Drosophila melanogaster: one gene and its partner. The protein of the gene in region 2 interacts with the protein of the main gene of each other region in a pairwise test. Each region holds a gene or a part of one and is shown on either strand. Other genes may lie near its edges.

Region 1 (8,814 bases), on a different chromosome or scaffold from region 2:
ACTGCTTCGCCAATATGCCACCATTAACGAGAGCAAGATACCCGTGGTGTCCGGTGGCGGTGGTGGTGCCGGCAGCTCGGCCACCATTCCGCCCACACGGGGCAGTGCTGCGCGTACCTCCCATCACCACATGACGCTACGGGGGAGATCTCGGATCCGATACCAGCGTCCCAATGCCGGAGAAACGGCTCCGGCTGCTGCCCAAACGCAACCGTGCACGGTGGCCACGGCTCGGTATTACCGGGACGTATCGGCTATACCCACAATCGGTGTTTTTGGTGGTGGTCCTGGTGGGTCGTCGTCCACTTCAGCCTCCTTTAACATAGCCACACGCTCCGCATCCGCCACGCTCGATCTCAACTCCAATCCGCTGCCGAAAACAACAAAATTAACCAGCCTCAACAATAATCCAACTACCACTCCTCCTCCCTCCTCCAATCCTGCAGACACAAGCCGGCTTAGTGGGCGCGGCAGTGCCGAATTGCAGGCGATCATCGAGCACGGCCTGGTGGCTGGTTCCGCCAAGCGAAACAAGCGATCGCTGAGCTCCACACGCCTGGACAAGGACAAGAGCGACGAGTACAACACAAAGCTGTTGAGGAAGACGGCGGCGGCAGCTGCTGCAGCGGCCACAGCAGCATCAGCTGTAGCCAACAGCACATCGATCAACGCCACCCACGCCACAAACGCCTCCACCACCAGCAGCATGAACAACAATTGCAAGTACAACAGCTGCAGCAGCAGCAACAGCGGCAGCTTCAAGCTTTCCCGGCGCCTTTTCGGTGAGTCCGGCTCCTCAGCATCGACGTCCGCCTCAAATTCGGGTATTCCCACACCCACGGCGCCGCCCTCCTCCAGCCAGTGGCAACAGCACCTGGTACGCGGTGTGAGTCGTGCGTCCAGCGAAAAGGATCGGGATCGGGAGCGACAGCAACAACAACAACAACAGTCTCTGGACCATCAACAATCCAATCTCAAGCTGCGCAAGAAGATTAGCTATTGAACACTAATCATATATTGTTTCCTTTAGTTGTGTAAATATTATTTTGACTAGTAAATTGAACGTTTCCCGATGAGATGATGAGATTGATGTGGCGAATGCAATGATTTTTTAGATATTCCAATGCAATCAAATTTGGTGATTGATTAGGAAATTATTTGCAATAACAATCTCATTTATACACTTACATTTTTTTTTAGGAAAACATTTCAAATTGTTATGGATTTGTTATTTAACATATTGTACTAATATAAGATAACCCATTAAAAGGCAAGCAATTGACATTGAAATTGTTAATACATTGTTGAAAGTTTTTAAGAGGAACGCTTAGTTTTCATTTTAGCATTGTGTTGTAAAAATAAAATCAAAAATGCTGAAGACTACGAAGCACTTTATTTATTTTAGACTGAAACCCCTTTTATTCGTATAAAAGTTGTACTTGTAAAAAAAAAAAGAAATGCAGCATTTTTACCATTTTTTTCCGTCAAATTATTTAAAATATTTGTTTCAAGTAAGTCTTTGATTACTAGCATTCCTTTTAAAGGCAAATGTTCAGATTTTTAATTTCACTGTGCAATACATATTTATGTAAATTGCTTCAAATATTTTATAATCAGTTGTTGCAAACAATAAGTTCGGACCGTATAAATACTTTACATTTTAATAGAATTAACATTGGTATTGGCATCGAAAAGTAATTAATAATATCATTATGTTATACCTTCTCGAAAGTAAAAGTTGTTGTACCCACTCCCCTTACTTATTTCCTTGGATTTTTTACACCTATCTCAATCGTGTACAAAGTTAACATAGATGTTTACTAAAAGACCTTGAAAATAATTTTTTTATGTTTCCCACCTACAAATTGGTGGAGATTGTATTAATCGTAAGATTAAATGAAATATGTGCATTCTAGAGTGTAAATAAAACGAGTTTACTTAGTTTTAAGCTAGAATAGTTGAATAAATGTTATACGCATTAAATCAACATGGTGCGAAAATAGTCTATTATATGGTCGTAGATATCGGTCTCCTTTGCCATAAGGACCACGTCGAATGCACAATTAAGCTCGACGCTAAGCAAGGGAACCAACGATGAAGATTCCACTTCACTGATTTTGGGTGTTATCTTTAAAGAGCTCATTACGTCCATAGCCTTATCCTTGGAGCTCTCGTATTCATCTGAATTGATGGCCTCAATGGCCTCCTTTTTCAGGGTAGGATAGAAGTTCTTGAAGTAGTTGTGTCGGTCGCAGAGCCGCATGCCTGTATGGTCTACGCTCCCGGCTTCCTTCAACTCCCAGTAGGTGGTAAATTTCTTTCTGCGCAATGCCTCCAATTCCTCCATAGATTCTTCCATATCAACAACTTTCAATTTGCTTGTGCTCGCTACTTGCATTTGATCCGGACGCAAATTGTCCGAATTGCTGGAGATTAAGGCCAGCATTTCAATGGCCGCTCGCTGACGGGCATCCTTCTTTTTGTCCGACTTTCCGTAGCGTACTATGGAGGCCACGGAGCAACAGGCCACGAATTCCGGGGCGCTCGGGGTGCCGCTTTGCTGCACTACCTCAATGCAGGGCAGTGGCATCTCGCGGCGGACGCAGTAGTCACGCAGCTCCTTCACCATGTCCCGGTTGAGGTTAGTCAGTTCCTCATCCAGATCACCCACAGTCGAATCCTTCATCAAGCCGTGTATGCCGGGCAGCAGTTGGATTTTACGCAAGATATTGCTGGCAGCCAGGTGTTTGGCATCACGCTTCGAACGCCCTAGAATTGGATAAATATGTGGCGGTTTAGATACGAATATAAATAGTGGTTGAGATTTGTAATTTAAATTTACCATTTCCAAGGGCCTCTATCTCCAATAGTTCAACTTTACAGACGTACCCTCCGTCTTCGCCGGGAATAAAACTGTATGTTGGTAGATTAATCTGTGTCCGGGCACAAAACTCCTGTAGAGCAGATACGGCTGACTTGTTATCCATGAGTTCAAGGGGAAAAGGCACGTCGGACGTGCTAACATTCAACAGAATATAACCATATATATAATTTATAAAATATCTAAAGCACTGCAATGTTATTAGAGATGGCACGCGAATCACGAAGCGGCAACGATAGAATAGGAAATCTTGACGAAGACATCTGTAAATGAATTATTTTATGCCGCTTTGTCAAAAAAATATTTTCACGAAATAGTATTGAATTCGTAATTCGAATACGAAAACAGCGGCAAACCTTCTTAACTTTTTTACTAAGGAGCAAATGCATTTTATATGCTATTCGGTGTTTTCATTCAAAGTTCAACGTCTGAAGTGTTATACATAATCGACACGTCACGATGACGCGAGTTGGCATCCCCGTAAGTCAAGGCAACCCTGTTGCGTAGTATATGGCATTAACAAGTGTTGCTGTCAGTGATGAGCAAAATCCACAACTGCAAATAACTAGATACCGTATATTTTTCAAAGGAATAAATTCTAAAAACACTAAAACCAAGTGTTTGAGCAACGACTTTAATATTTTCCAACTGTGTACTTAAATTGCCACATCCCACACACTTTGGAAAATCAATTCTCAGCTGTTTGTGCAACCTGCGACTTAAAAATACCTGCTACTCGCGGCAGCCCTGTGACCGACGCTCATCACTTGCCACAGGTCAGAACCAAATGAAGAGTAGTTTTTGATCAACTGCGGAACGTTTACTGCGTTTCATAATCAATAACTCTGTGCTGCGAGCAAAACACCACAGAACGAACAGCTGTTGAAAACCAAACAATAGCATAATACCAAATTAAATGTCAAATTCAGAATAAACTATTTCTCGAAAATACGCAGAGAGCAGAGCGGAGTAGGAAGTGAGAAACAGTGGCTGCGTAAAAAGTGTCCCCGCTAGCGCAGCAAAAACCCATCACCGATCTTCGTATCGCGGTCATTAATTAGCAATAGAAAGTTCTCCGATTCGCGGGGTCAGCCAGATGGAGGAGAACGCCGCCCCACCCGCAGCCGCAACAGCCGCGGGCTGCGATGCCGCCACCCGTCAAAAGAATCCGGAAACCAGTGTCCGGCTGCTCATCAAGTCGTCCAACCAGCAGTATGAGGATCTCAATGTGGACTCCGATCTCTGCTGGACGGTCCAGAGGCTGAAGAAGCACCTATCTCTTATCTATCCTGGCAAACCGGTGGGTTATCGAGTTGGTTCCCCCCCTTGTTATCGTATAGGTAGAAAACTGGCCAGGAGCCCCATTATCTTATCGAGAAGTTTGTTATTGTTTATCATCTTCGTTTAGGATTCATAGGTGTGTCGGTTCCCAAAGCTATTTGCGTCTTAGTCGCAAGTACACGTCAGTGGATTGCTCCTCTAAATTATAGTCGCCGTCATGCACTTGCGTCATGCACTTGGTCTATGCCAAATCGATGGGTCGGAACTGGGAACTGGGATTAATTTGGTTACGGTTAGAAAGTGATAAGATTTTTGGACATATTCACGCTCCACTCATGTGCCAAGTTTTTTATGTACATATGTACATCCCACATATCAATATCACTGATATATACTAAAGATTCAGATCATTGCAGGCAGAAAAAATACATTAGCACTCTTTATTTCCAGAGCAAATCAAGTAGAATTTATAAAAATTTATTTAGTTTCAAGTATCATTTCCATAAAGTCAACTGACAAGTACAAGTTGTTATCTCTTGGAGTGTGCAAATAAATAGATTTAGGCACTGTTTGATAGTATAAATTTCGCGCGGAGGTAAAAGCAACAATGAGTTATCTCTAGGTTCCCTCTGAATACCTATAATGTGAAATTTTATGTTTTATGTTTTGACCACTATAACTATTTCTTTCCATTTTTTCTGTAGTTAATCCAGGACCAGAAACTTATTTACTCGGGCAAGCTATTAGATGACTCCCAAAAGATATCTGAGGTGATACGCAGCTACAAGGATGTCTACCAACAGCACCACATATTTCACTTGGTGTGTGCCAGCAAGCAAGTGATAAGGCCGGCTGCCAAAGCCCCCACTGTTCCGCAGAAGGATGCGGTTCCAGCTGGGCCCGAGGTCACTGGGAATGCAAATGAGCTGCGACAACGTCATGCTCCACATCAGCAGCAGGCACAGCAGGGCAACGCTGGACCACACGTGACGGGTGACATCGGTTTGGCCAATCCCTGGACACACTTCTGGCAGCAGAGCCAGGGAGCAGCACCTGCTGCCAATGCCAGTGCCAGTCCCCATGCTTTGTTCCAGCAGCAGGCGCTCATCTACAACGCCTGGATGCAGCAGGCTTACGCGCAGTACATGCAGCAGTTGACTCTACGGTAAGTGAACAGAACCAGAAGGCTAAAGGAACACACTTGATCCAACAATTAATTCACTGATATCAGAAGCGAGCGAATCAAATTACACAGAGCTCGATAGCGAATACATTTTATTTTTCTCAGAAGGAGAAACACTTGTATTTAGTCACTCTTAAGAGGTACTTTATTATTCAAGTGAGATCAAAATGCTGTTTTAGCATTTTTAAAGTTGTTTCTTGATTATTTATAATCTTTTTATTATTTTGGTTATCAGGCGTGCTAAAATTGTAGTATACTTGTATGGCCACGATTACAGTTAAATAATATAATTTTGGGGTCGCTCCCGAAGAATTTATTGTGCGCAATTAAGTTTTGCATGTAAACGAACAATTATTTTCTATAATATTGAATGCTATGATTCTTACACAACAATCTTATATTATACCCACAGTTCTACGTTGCCCGGTTCGAACCAATCTGGCTTGCCGCCACCGACTCAACCCCTGTTGCCCTCAGTCCCACTGATTGCTGGGCGAAACTTCGGGGAGGTACAACAAGTGGCAGGAGCAGCTGCTGCCCCAGCGGCACAGGTACCTGCTGATCCTCAGATTAATGGAGCGCCGCAGAACAGAAATTTTCCCAACATTCAGGAGGAACCGGAAATGCACGACTGGCTGGATAGTTTCTTTAGCTTTACGCGATTGGCCATTTTTGTGACTGTCCTGTACTTTAACTCCTCAGCGCTGCGTTGTTTACTGGTGGTGCTCATCGCGGGTGCGATTTATCTGTAAGTACATTTCCTCTTTGATTCGAATTGAAAAGTTTACACATATATTGAAATTATAATTGTTTGTTAGATATCACATTGGTGTCCTTCGACGTCGCCGCGAGCGGAACAATAACAACATAAATCGTAACAATAATGCTGGCGATGCGGCCGCCTTTGCTGCAGTGCAGCAAATTCAGCGCATGATGGATGCGGCCGTGCAGCGGGAGAACAACGATCCCCAGGCGGCCAATGAGCCTGGTGCAGTGCCAGCGGCTGGACCTGCTGCTGCTGGTGAACAAGATGCAATCGATGCACCTCCGGCTGGGGCTCCCGTTGCTCCAGCATCCGCTGCTAATCCAGAACCGACTGACGTTTCCGCGGAAGCTGTGGAACCACCAAATGCCAATAATTCTGTGATTTCCGTTGTGCGCACCTTTGTCATCACGTTCTTCACCTCGCTGCTGCCCGAGGCGCCGGCGCTCTAGAGGATCGAACTGTACGTTATACAGAGGGACGTGTTTGACCATCCACAAACCAGCTTTACAGCTTTACGGCTTTCCTCTTTTAAAACTCCCATAATCAAACTGTTATTCCGTTTTCCTTTTGAGTTTTGTGCATACCTGAGAATGTAGCAAAAACAAACAATTTGTTTTACTAGCTGTAATAATCATGTATATTTATTTCCGAGTGTTAGCCAAGTTACAACATGGTGACTGCTGCCTCAATAGCTCGTAGAATTTTAGATATCTAAGAACGTACTCTGTTTTTGATGTGAATAGTAGAATGTTTATAATCTGCACTGCAATCTGTGCTAGAGACGAACCTATGAAACCAAGATGCAATTAAAATAAAACGTATGCTTTAACACCAAAAACCGAAATCGAAAAGTGGTGTTTACAAGGTGCAATTTTATCTATAAAAAATATATCTACGATTTAAATGAAGAACATACTGTTTTTAAATGTTTTCAACATCATTGGCATTGTTTTTAAAATCTTAAAAGAATCTTTAATTTAATAACATATAGACATATGAACATATGCATAGACACATATTGACTATTAAAAAATATATTTTTAAAATTTAAAATGTTATTATTTTAAACAATTTTGAATGATTCAATAAGGAAATAATCGGTTTTTTCCCGAAAATTTGTATAAGAATTGCATTGTGTAAACAGCGCTTGAGGAATTTTCCCCGGACGATTCTCTTAATTCTTAGAAACTTCTCTTATCAAAGTGGAAAATTTTCAGCCGAAAATCGAACGGAGATCCGGATTCCCTCACGGGTAAGTGACAATCACCAGCAGCTCGCTCTTTTTGCCCAGCTAACGCACAAAATTGGTTTCTTTTAGCTGCGATGAGATGCATGGAGAGCACGGCTTATCGCTGGATTTACGACTGGGTCCAACTGCTGATTAGAGGCTGTTTCGCTGACTGCCTCCATCGATGCCTTTAGAAGAGTACCAGAGCTCGGAGCCAACGGATCGGATCATTCCACTCAGGCCAAGAATAAGCACAACGGTTACAATTAAATTCGCACTTCATCTGCTCGAACTGATCCCACAAAGCTGCCGAAACATGTGGCGAGTGATTCAACTGCGCGCAACAATCGCGCATCCGTTCACCAGACAACGTCATGTGAGTTGATTCAACTCCCCAATTGCAGCCACATTGAATAATCGCATTCATACGAATGTAAAAGATATTAATTTTTAAAATATATATACTAAATAAATATCCCAATCTTTTGCTCTTTCAGAGTCGAGTGATTGCCATTCGGCGAGAGGATCAGTCGGTGTGGGAGCGACGAGCTCCGTTTGGACCAACCCACGTCCAGAAGTTGGTCAAGCAGAATGTCAAGGTCATAGTGCAGCCGTCCAATCGTCGTGCCTACCCCATGCAGGTGAGCTCAATTTGAAATTAAAATTTCGTCACATTATCCATAGGTTGTAACTTTCCATGGCCAGTTGGCAACGGATTTATTGAGTCTGCAGGGCTAATCGCCCATGGAAATCATATCGGTCGGTAGTCGTCAGGGCAACAAGTACGCGTGTATAGGTAGCATAGTATGGTATTTATATGGTATGGAGGCACACACGCCCCCCAAGTGCTGCATCATAAATATAAACTCGGATGATAAGCCTCCATGGAGCTCTAAATTTGGCAATTGGCCCGGCCTTGAAATCGAGTACAAAACAAACGACGAGGAGAGGAAAAACAATGGGAAGCAAAGCTTATCGTTTGCAGCAATGATTTCAAGGAATCTATATAATGTATTAAGGTGATTTTTAGAGTTGATAACATTTTCAAAGGGTCACGTGAGAAAGAACTAAACTAACTAAAATAATTTTTGAAGAAGGTAAAGCACTTAATTTAAAGTACCCCACTGACACACCCCAACAGTAAATGCAATTACAAAACGATTAGCAAATGGTACTGGAAAAAATTAGAAAACCTAATCAGATTTAATTAAGTTGAGGGGCAAGGGGATTAAATGTTTCACACGTGTATAGTACAATCATCATCTTTCGCCTGATGCATTGTAAAGATTACCACGTAGCAGGATGAATAGAATAGATAAGCGGGGCACTTAACTAAATAAAAACAAATAATAACATTGAGTTGATTTGTTTTTCCGGAACAGGCCTACATGCAGGCTGGAGCTCATATTCAGGAGGACATCAGTGATGCTTCGGTGATATTCGGAGTGAAACAGGTGCCCATAGATGCACTGATT
Region 2 (6,414 bases):
CGCCCTGGCTGGCCTCCAACTGGACGCACTGCAACTGCAGCAGCAGAAACTCGACGGCGGCAAGCCCATGCCCCGCATCCTCGAGCTGGCCGAGTTTGGGCAGTTGGCCCGACCTGCACACGCCTCCGCGTCCAGTTTCATGGGAGGATTGGAGTTTGTGACGGTGGTTCTGCTTGCGCTGATCAGCCTGGGTGCACTGATAGCCGCCTGCTGCTACGTATGCATGCGCCAAAAACGGTATGAATGACGAGTGCACGAGTGTCATGCAAGTGCAACTGCAACTGCAACCGAAAGACTGCTTACTGGGCGCTCAAATGTAGCTCATAGATGCATTTCATGTTAGCCATAGTTTTAGCCTAAGCTAAAGGCCCGATAATAAATCTTAAGTCAATTGCAAACGTTGTTGTTGCTGCCGCTGCTGCTGTTGGTGTGTTTGTTGCTGCTGCTGCTGCTGCTGCTGCTGCTACTGCTAATGGCCATGATCGTGGCCAAGTTGCTTGATGCCACTGAGTCTGCATAAACCGGCTGGCATTGGGCCTTTCCTGTCCGATTAAATTATAACGGTAAAAAGCAACAAACACAACATCAAATGCAACAATGCAGCAATAGCAACTTGAGGCAATTAGATGAAGATCGTGTGACATCGCTGCAACTACATCCCAAATGGGAAAGCCAATCAAATGGGATGTCATCTCATCAGCTCAGCTCATCCTGCACAGAGAAAAATAAATAATATGTTCGAAGTTATGTTGTTATATTGAAAGGAAACTACGATCAGGTTTAACTATAAATTTACATATTGAAAATGAAAACAAGTAACTATACTAGAGCTTAATGATGATTTAAACGATTGATATGAGCCGTCTAAAACTACTACAAATTCTTCCCGTGTCTCTTGCAGACGTCTCTGGTCTCAGCGTGATTTCTCCGCCTCCGATGCCGGTCTCACCTATACCATCGCTGGCATCGGATCTCCTCGTGGCCAGAAGCAGCGCCGTCAGCGGCAGCAGCGGCACACACAGCGCTGTAGCAAGGGCAGCACGGGCAGCCAACGACCCACCAGTGCCTTCATGCCCGAGTCCGTCTGCTCCTCGGCCCAAACGCAGTCTACGGCCACCGCCACCGAGAAACTGGAGCAGCAGCTGCACCATCACCACCAGCAGCAGGCGATGGCCACACAGCAGCAGCATCATCAGTACCTGAACGAGTGAGTGAATGGCCGTGGTCAAGACCGCGTCTAGTCAAACGTGTTTCCATTCTGGACACTAATTGCCATCATCCCCGAAACAGGCAACAGCGACAGCAAAAGCGCGAGTACATAGACGTTCCTCTTCCCAAGTCCATTGCCAAGGCTGCGGCGGTGACGAGTGGGGGCGATGGAGCTGTGGGCGTCGGGAGCACTCCGTTCGTACTGAAGTACAATGCCTGTCAGCCCGTTAACAATCTGTAAGTCTATAGATTATATTTAATATGGTTTCAAATTTGGCACAATTGTTATGAACTAGACTTAACATACTAAACTGCAACCTATCATCACAACAGTAACAATTACGAAACCTCGCTGTTCTCACTTCACTCGACGGGCCAGGACTCTGGTGTGGAGTTCCTGAGCAGCCGCGAGCTGTACGAGACCTCGCCGGATTCCTTTCAGCACGGAGGCTCTAAGCGCGGCAACAACACGGAAGTTTTATGCCCCAGACATGCGAAGGCCCACTTGGAGCTGCGCCAGCCAAATACGGACAGCAGGTGGGTAGAAGAGTGTGCTTTATTTCGGATTGCCTTCTTAACATTTGAAATCTCATTGCAACAGTGACACCTATGAGGACTCTCTGAAGACGGACGAGCCACTGGTGGCGCATAACTGTCGCAGTGCCAATTGTGAGCACCGCCAGCACCAGCAGCACCCCAGTCACCATCCCCACTACCAGAACACGCGGTTCGAGAAGCGCTCCTGCGTGCGCCACTCCTTCTCCGGGGTCAAGGACGACCTCATGCAGCAGTCACCGCAGATTTCACTGCGTCCCCGGGGCCACGCCCTCCGCAACTCGATGAATGACCTGGAGCAGCGGCTGCACAACCTGGAGCAGTCCTTTCGCCGCCCGCTCGAATTTAGCAAATCTAATTCATTGTTTTAGTTCATTTTTTAGCTAGACAAAACGCAGTGCAATTTTTAGTGTAGTCAACCTAGAATAGACTTTAGATATTAAGAAACAAGTGCAATAAATTTGAGAGATGTTACAATTAATATAGCCCCCAACTCTGAAAAAGAAAGTGATATATTTGAAATCCGGGAAAATCAATTGAGCAGTAGAAAAACTCAAAAGAAAATTTGATTAATTTCCAGTTTAAGTATAAACCCATTGAAGATATGGAAATACAATATATAATAGTATAGAAATTCATTCTGATCATATAGTAGCTTATGGATTTCAAAGTGAAAATCATATTGAACTTATCTGTTATTATAAATATTATTTCCATTCAAATATTGGATGAACTACTCTTCGATAGACGACACAATCTTAAGTTCTTCCTTCTGTTAACCACATAAATAAAATTAATTTAAAGTTTCGTGTCACGATTACGGCTTATCGATATCTGGCGCCAGTGTCACTAGTATTTGTACCATCACTAACCTTGGTCATAAAAATAAAAGCTAGCGTTCCATTTATTTTCCATCGCCCGAGCGCTGTTCCCTATCCATTAACACGTCTCAATCCTGGAGTGCACAACATCCGGTGAGAGGACTACCAAAAAGAGATAGTCCGCCGCTGGTTGTAGGTGAATAAACAGTGAAGAAGCGAAGAGTCCAAAGGATACAATCGCAACCCACTTGCCAAGCTGCACACTTTGAGTCCAACGTTGGAGGAGGAGCCGCCATGAATGCCCTGCGGCAGTTCTACCTGGAGATCCCGGTGGTCACACGAGCCTACACCACGGTCTGCGTGCTGACCACCTTGGCGGTGGTAAGTGTATCCCGTAGTGCGTTCTAAATCGCGGATGACGTGTACGTGTATTATCTTCGATTATATTTTTTGCCAACTTTTAAGCACCTGGACCTGGTGTCGCCGCTGCAGCTCTACTTCAATCCCACGCTGATTGTGCGCAAGTTCCAGATCTGGCGCTTGGCCACCACATTCCTGTACTTTGGCACAATAGGCATCAGTTTCTTTTTCAATATGGTGTTTACATATCGATATTGTCGAATGTTGGAGGACGGATCTTTCCGCGGACGCAGCTCCGACTTTGTCATGATGTTCATCTTTGGCGGCGTGCTAATGACCTTCTTCGGAATCTTCGTCAACCTGTTGTTCCTGGGCCAGGCCTTCACATTAATGCTGGTCTATGTGTGGTCACGACGCAATCCACTGGTGCCAATGAATTTCTTCGGGGTGCTTAACTTCCAGGCGCCGTACCTTCCGTGGGTGCTCCTCTGCTGCTCCATGATTCTGGGAAACACCGTGTGGGTGGATGTCATCGGCATGGGTGTTGGCCACATCTACTACGTGCTGGAGGACGTCTATCCTACACTGTCCAACGGCTACAGACTGATCAAAACCCCCTACTTTTTGTGAGTTTACTTTGAATTGGGATATAACTTTTGCAATAACGACTTGTTGTCCTTAGGAAACGTCTCTTCAATGAGCACATCGAACGCAACTTCCAGGCGGCTGCTGAGGATCGACCTGGCGGATTTCCTTGGGGCGGAGAGGGTCAGCCCCTGCTACCGGAAGAGATTGCGGCTGATGGACAGGATGAGGAGCCAGCGAATCGAGCGGCGCCTGTTGCTGCCGCGCCGCAATAGCAAAACTAGAAAACTTGATTGTTAAAACGTTCTTCTGTTCAAAACGACGACGATGACAACAATGTTGTGTACCCTCCGCCACCTTCTGTTTGGTGCTTGGTGTAATTAGGCGTATAGTAGTGAGAGAAAGGCGTGCAATAGTTAGCCAAAGTTGGTGCAGAGCGTGTGTGTATGTCATTTATTGGTTTGTTTTCTGAAACAGAGCTCATTTTCCATACGAGATGTTCTTTTATTTATAATTTACCCCCAAGGGATGAATCCACGACAGATTGAACCTACACTGCACATGTGATGATTATATATATACAAACCATGCCACAAATAAATCATTATATAAAAAGACCTGCAGTTTTAAAATGCTTGAAATCGCTTGGGGATTGATAAAAAAAAACCATTTGAAAAAAACATTTTCTTTTTACATTATTTGGTTTGCGGAAGTGTGGTTCAATTCGAAGTGCCTAACTTAAATATAATATGAAAATAGCATTGAACTTTTAAAGGTGACAATTCAAATGCGCGCCAAACTTTTAATACGTTGCCACCTGCCAACTCAATTTGACGTTAGCCAACACTGGCTGCGACAAAACAGTTGTTATTCGCTCGTATTTAGTTTTTAGCCGGCTGCTAAATAGTATAGTATTAGTATGTTATATGATATGAACTCAGGATGTCCAGAATTTTGATGAGCCAACTGACCCACCCTCAGAGGGTCCGACTGCTGTACAAAACGATCTTGCGACTGCACAGAGGTAAGATGAAAAATTCCCTATTACTATAAATTGCATGCATTTCAACTAAACTTCTGTACTCCGTAGGACTTCCAGCGGAACTTCGTGCTCTGGGCGATAACTATGTGCGGGACGAGTTCCGGCGACACCTCAAGTGCAATCCCATGGAGGCACAGCTCTTTATGACAGAGTGGGCCGTAAGTTTTACGTAATAAACAAAAAGGCGCCATACTAAGCAAATCTTCCATTGCAGCGATATGCGTCCACAATCACCCAACAACTAGGGATTCGGGGCAAGCCCAAGGGAGAGCTGGGCGAAGAGATTGACCCCAAGACTGTAGAAATGTTGAAAGACGACCAAGTAGTCCAACTATACGAGCTGATGCTGGCGGCCAAGGGAGTAGAAGATGCGCAAGGCAAATAAATCAGTGTATTATTTTATTATGAGTGTTTCTCCAAAATCTTGTACTCGAATTTAATGCCATTCTCCTCCTGCACACCCAGTGGCATGTCGGAATCGGGCGCGACCTCTCGAAAGCTGTCAGGGATCGCGGGGAAAAAGGTGTCGCAATCGAACTTCTGCATTATTTTGGTAATGTACAGCCGGTGACACCTTGGCGAGGCCATGGCCTCCTCGTAGACTCCACTACCGCCCACAATCCAAATGTTCTCCACTTCGTTCTGCTCCTCAAGGATCTTCATGGCCGTCTCGAGATTGGGGCACAATAGTACTCCCTTGGGCAGATCACTTTCCTGAAGTGTGGTGCTCAGCACTATGTTCAGCCGATCGGGAAGAGGCCTCTTGCTTTCCGGCACTCCGAAGTAGGTTTTCCTGCCCATTACCACGGCATTTTGCTTGGTGGGATCACTTGTTCGCTTGGTGGTGCGGCTGAAGTACTTCAGCTCAGATCTGATGGTACAAAAGCTTTAGCTGCGGTTCAATCCTTGTTACCAACTTACTTAATGCGCCATGGTAGATCGCCTCTGATGCCGATTCCGAAATTCTCGCAAACTGCCACGATTAAATTGAATCGAAGCATCCTTAATCCTTACTGAGAAAGCATAAGCTTGAAAATTATCTTCCAAGCTATAAAATTCAAACAGCTGATCAAGGCAATGCTGGAACCGATTTCGATAGCTTCGATTACTTACCTATTATCGAAACACGCTTATGAAGATCTTAGTCAGATTTCAGGTTGGTTTCGCGCCACTCCCACGAAAACAATATTTCTAGATACAATGTGTCTTGAATTTATTTTTATAGTGATCCACATATACTTTACAGGGGATTAAAAGTTCGTTAACTATTACCAAAAAGTTATTAGATACATTAGATATAAGAGGTTTTCGAGCCTGATTATTTCCAAAGGGTTACAAGATTTTCTGTCTCAAAATATGTTTTTTATATTTCAATACCATAGTGGTGATATTCCTGGATTTTCCAAGACAAACAAGTCTCCAGTTCTACTCTGGTCCCTCCAAAAGCCAGTAGGTCTCCATCTCGCCCTTGCCCTTGACCTTGACAAATCCCCGCGCTTCAACCTTATAGCCCACCTTTTGCACCTTCAGCGCAGTATAGTTGGACAGCTGGATCATCCAGGGATCGCTGCTGCTCTCCATTCGCGAGGCGGTGTTAACGGTGTCTCCAAAGAGACAGTATCGAGGAACCTTCATCCCAACCACGCCGGCGACGACGGGTCCCGAGTTAATGCCCACCCGTATAGCCACCCCGGGAAGAGCATGGGCTTTGACCTTCTTCATCACCCTTAAGGCCAAATCGCAGGCGTGTTCGGCATGCAGGGGATTCACATCAGGAGCACCCGAAACAGCCATGTAAACCATGCCCACGGTCTCCACTTTGTAAACAAACGGGGAAATGAT

Evidence for each region.
Region 1: the proteins of Der-2 (region 2) and Herp interact in a two-hybrid assay, tested with the Drosophila melanogaster proteins (one large-scale study listed by BioGRID).

The regions. Positions count from the first base shown.
Region 1 is NT_033779.5:7,794,676-7,803,489, reverse strand, and holds Herp (Homocysteine-induced endoplasmic reticulum protein), read left to right. Parts: upstream 1-3,431; 5' UTR 3,432-3,977; coding exon 3,978-4,181; intron 4,182-4,866; coding exon 4,867-5,327; intron 5,328-5,757; coding exon 5,758-6,093; intron 6,094-6,163; coding exon 6,164-6,560; 3' UTR 6,561-7,176; downstream 7,177-8,814. Other genes in the region: Cdc14 (cell division cycle 14), read left to right, coding at 1-1,003; r2d2, read right to left, coding at 1,979-2,769, 2,843-2,987; LKRSDH (lysine ketoglutarate reductase/saccharopine dehydrogenase), read left to right, coding at 7,656-7,715, 7,837-7,980, 8,722-8,814.
Region 2 is NT_033777.3:16,480,420-16,486,833, reverse strand, and holds Der-2 (Derlin-2), read left to right. Parts: upstream 1-2,610; 5' UTR 2,611-2,879; coding exon 2,880-2,966; intron 2,967-3,050; coding exon 3,051-3,571; intron 3,572-3,627; coding exon 3,628-3,805; 3' UTR 3,806-4,140; downstream 4,141-6,414. Other genes in the region: Cad89D (cadherin 89D), read left to right, coding at 1-237, 902-1,207, 1,291-1,446, 1,543-1,746, 1,811-2,135; Sdhaf3 (succinate dehydrogenase assembly factor 3), read left to right, coding at 4,473-4,554, 4,621-4,730, 4,787-4,957; Dhfr (dihydrofolate reductase), read right to left, coding at 4,975-5,443, 5,494-5,573; Gyc89Db (guanylyl cyclase at 89Db), read right to left, coding at 5,998-6,414.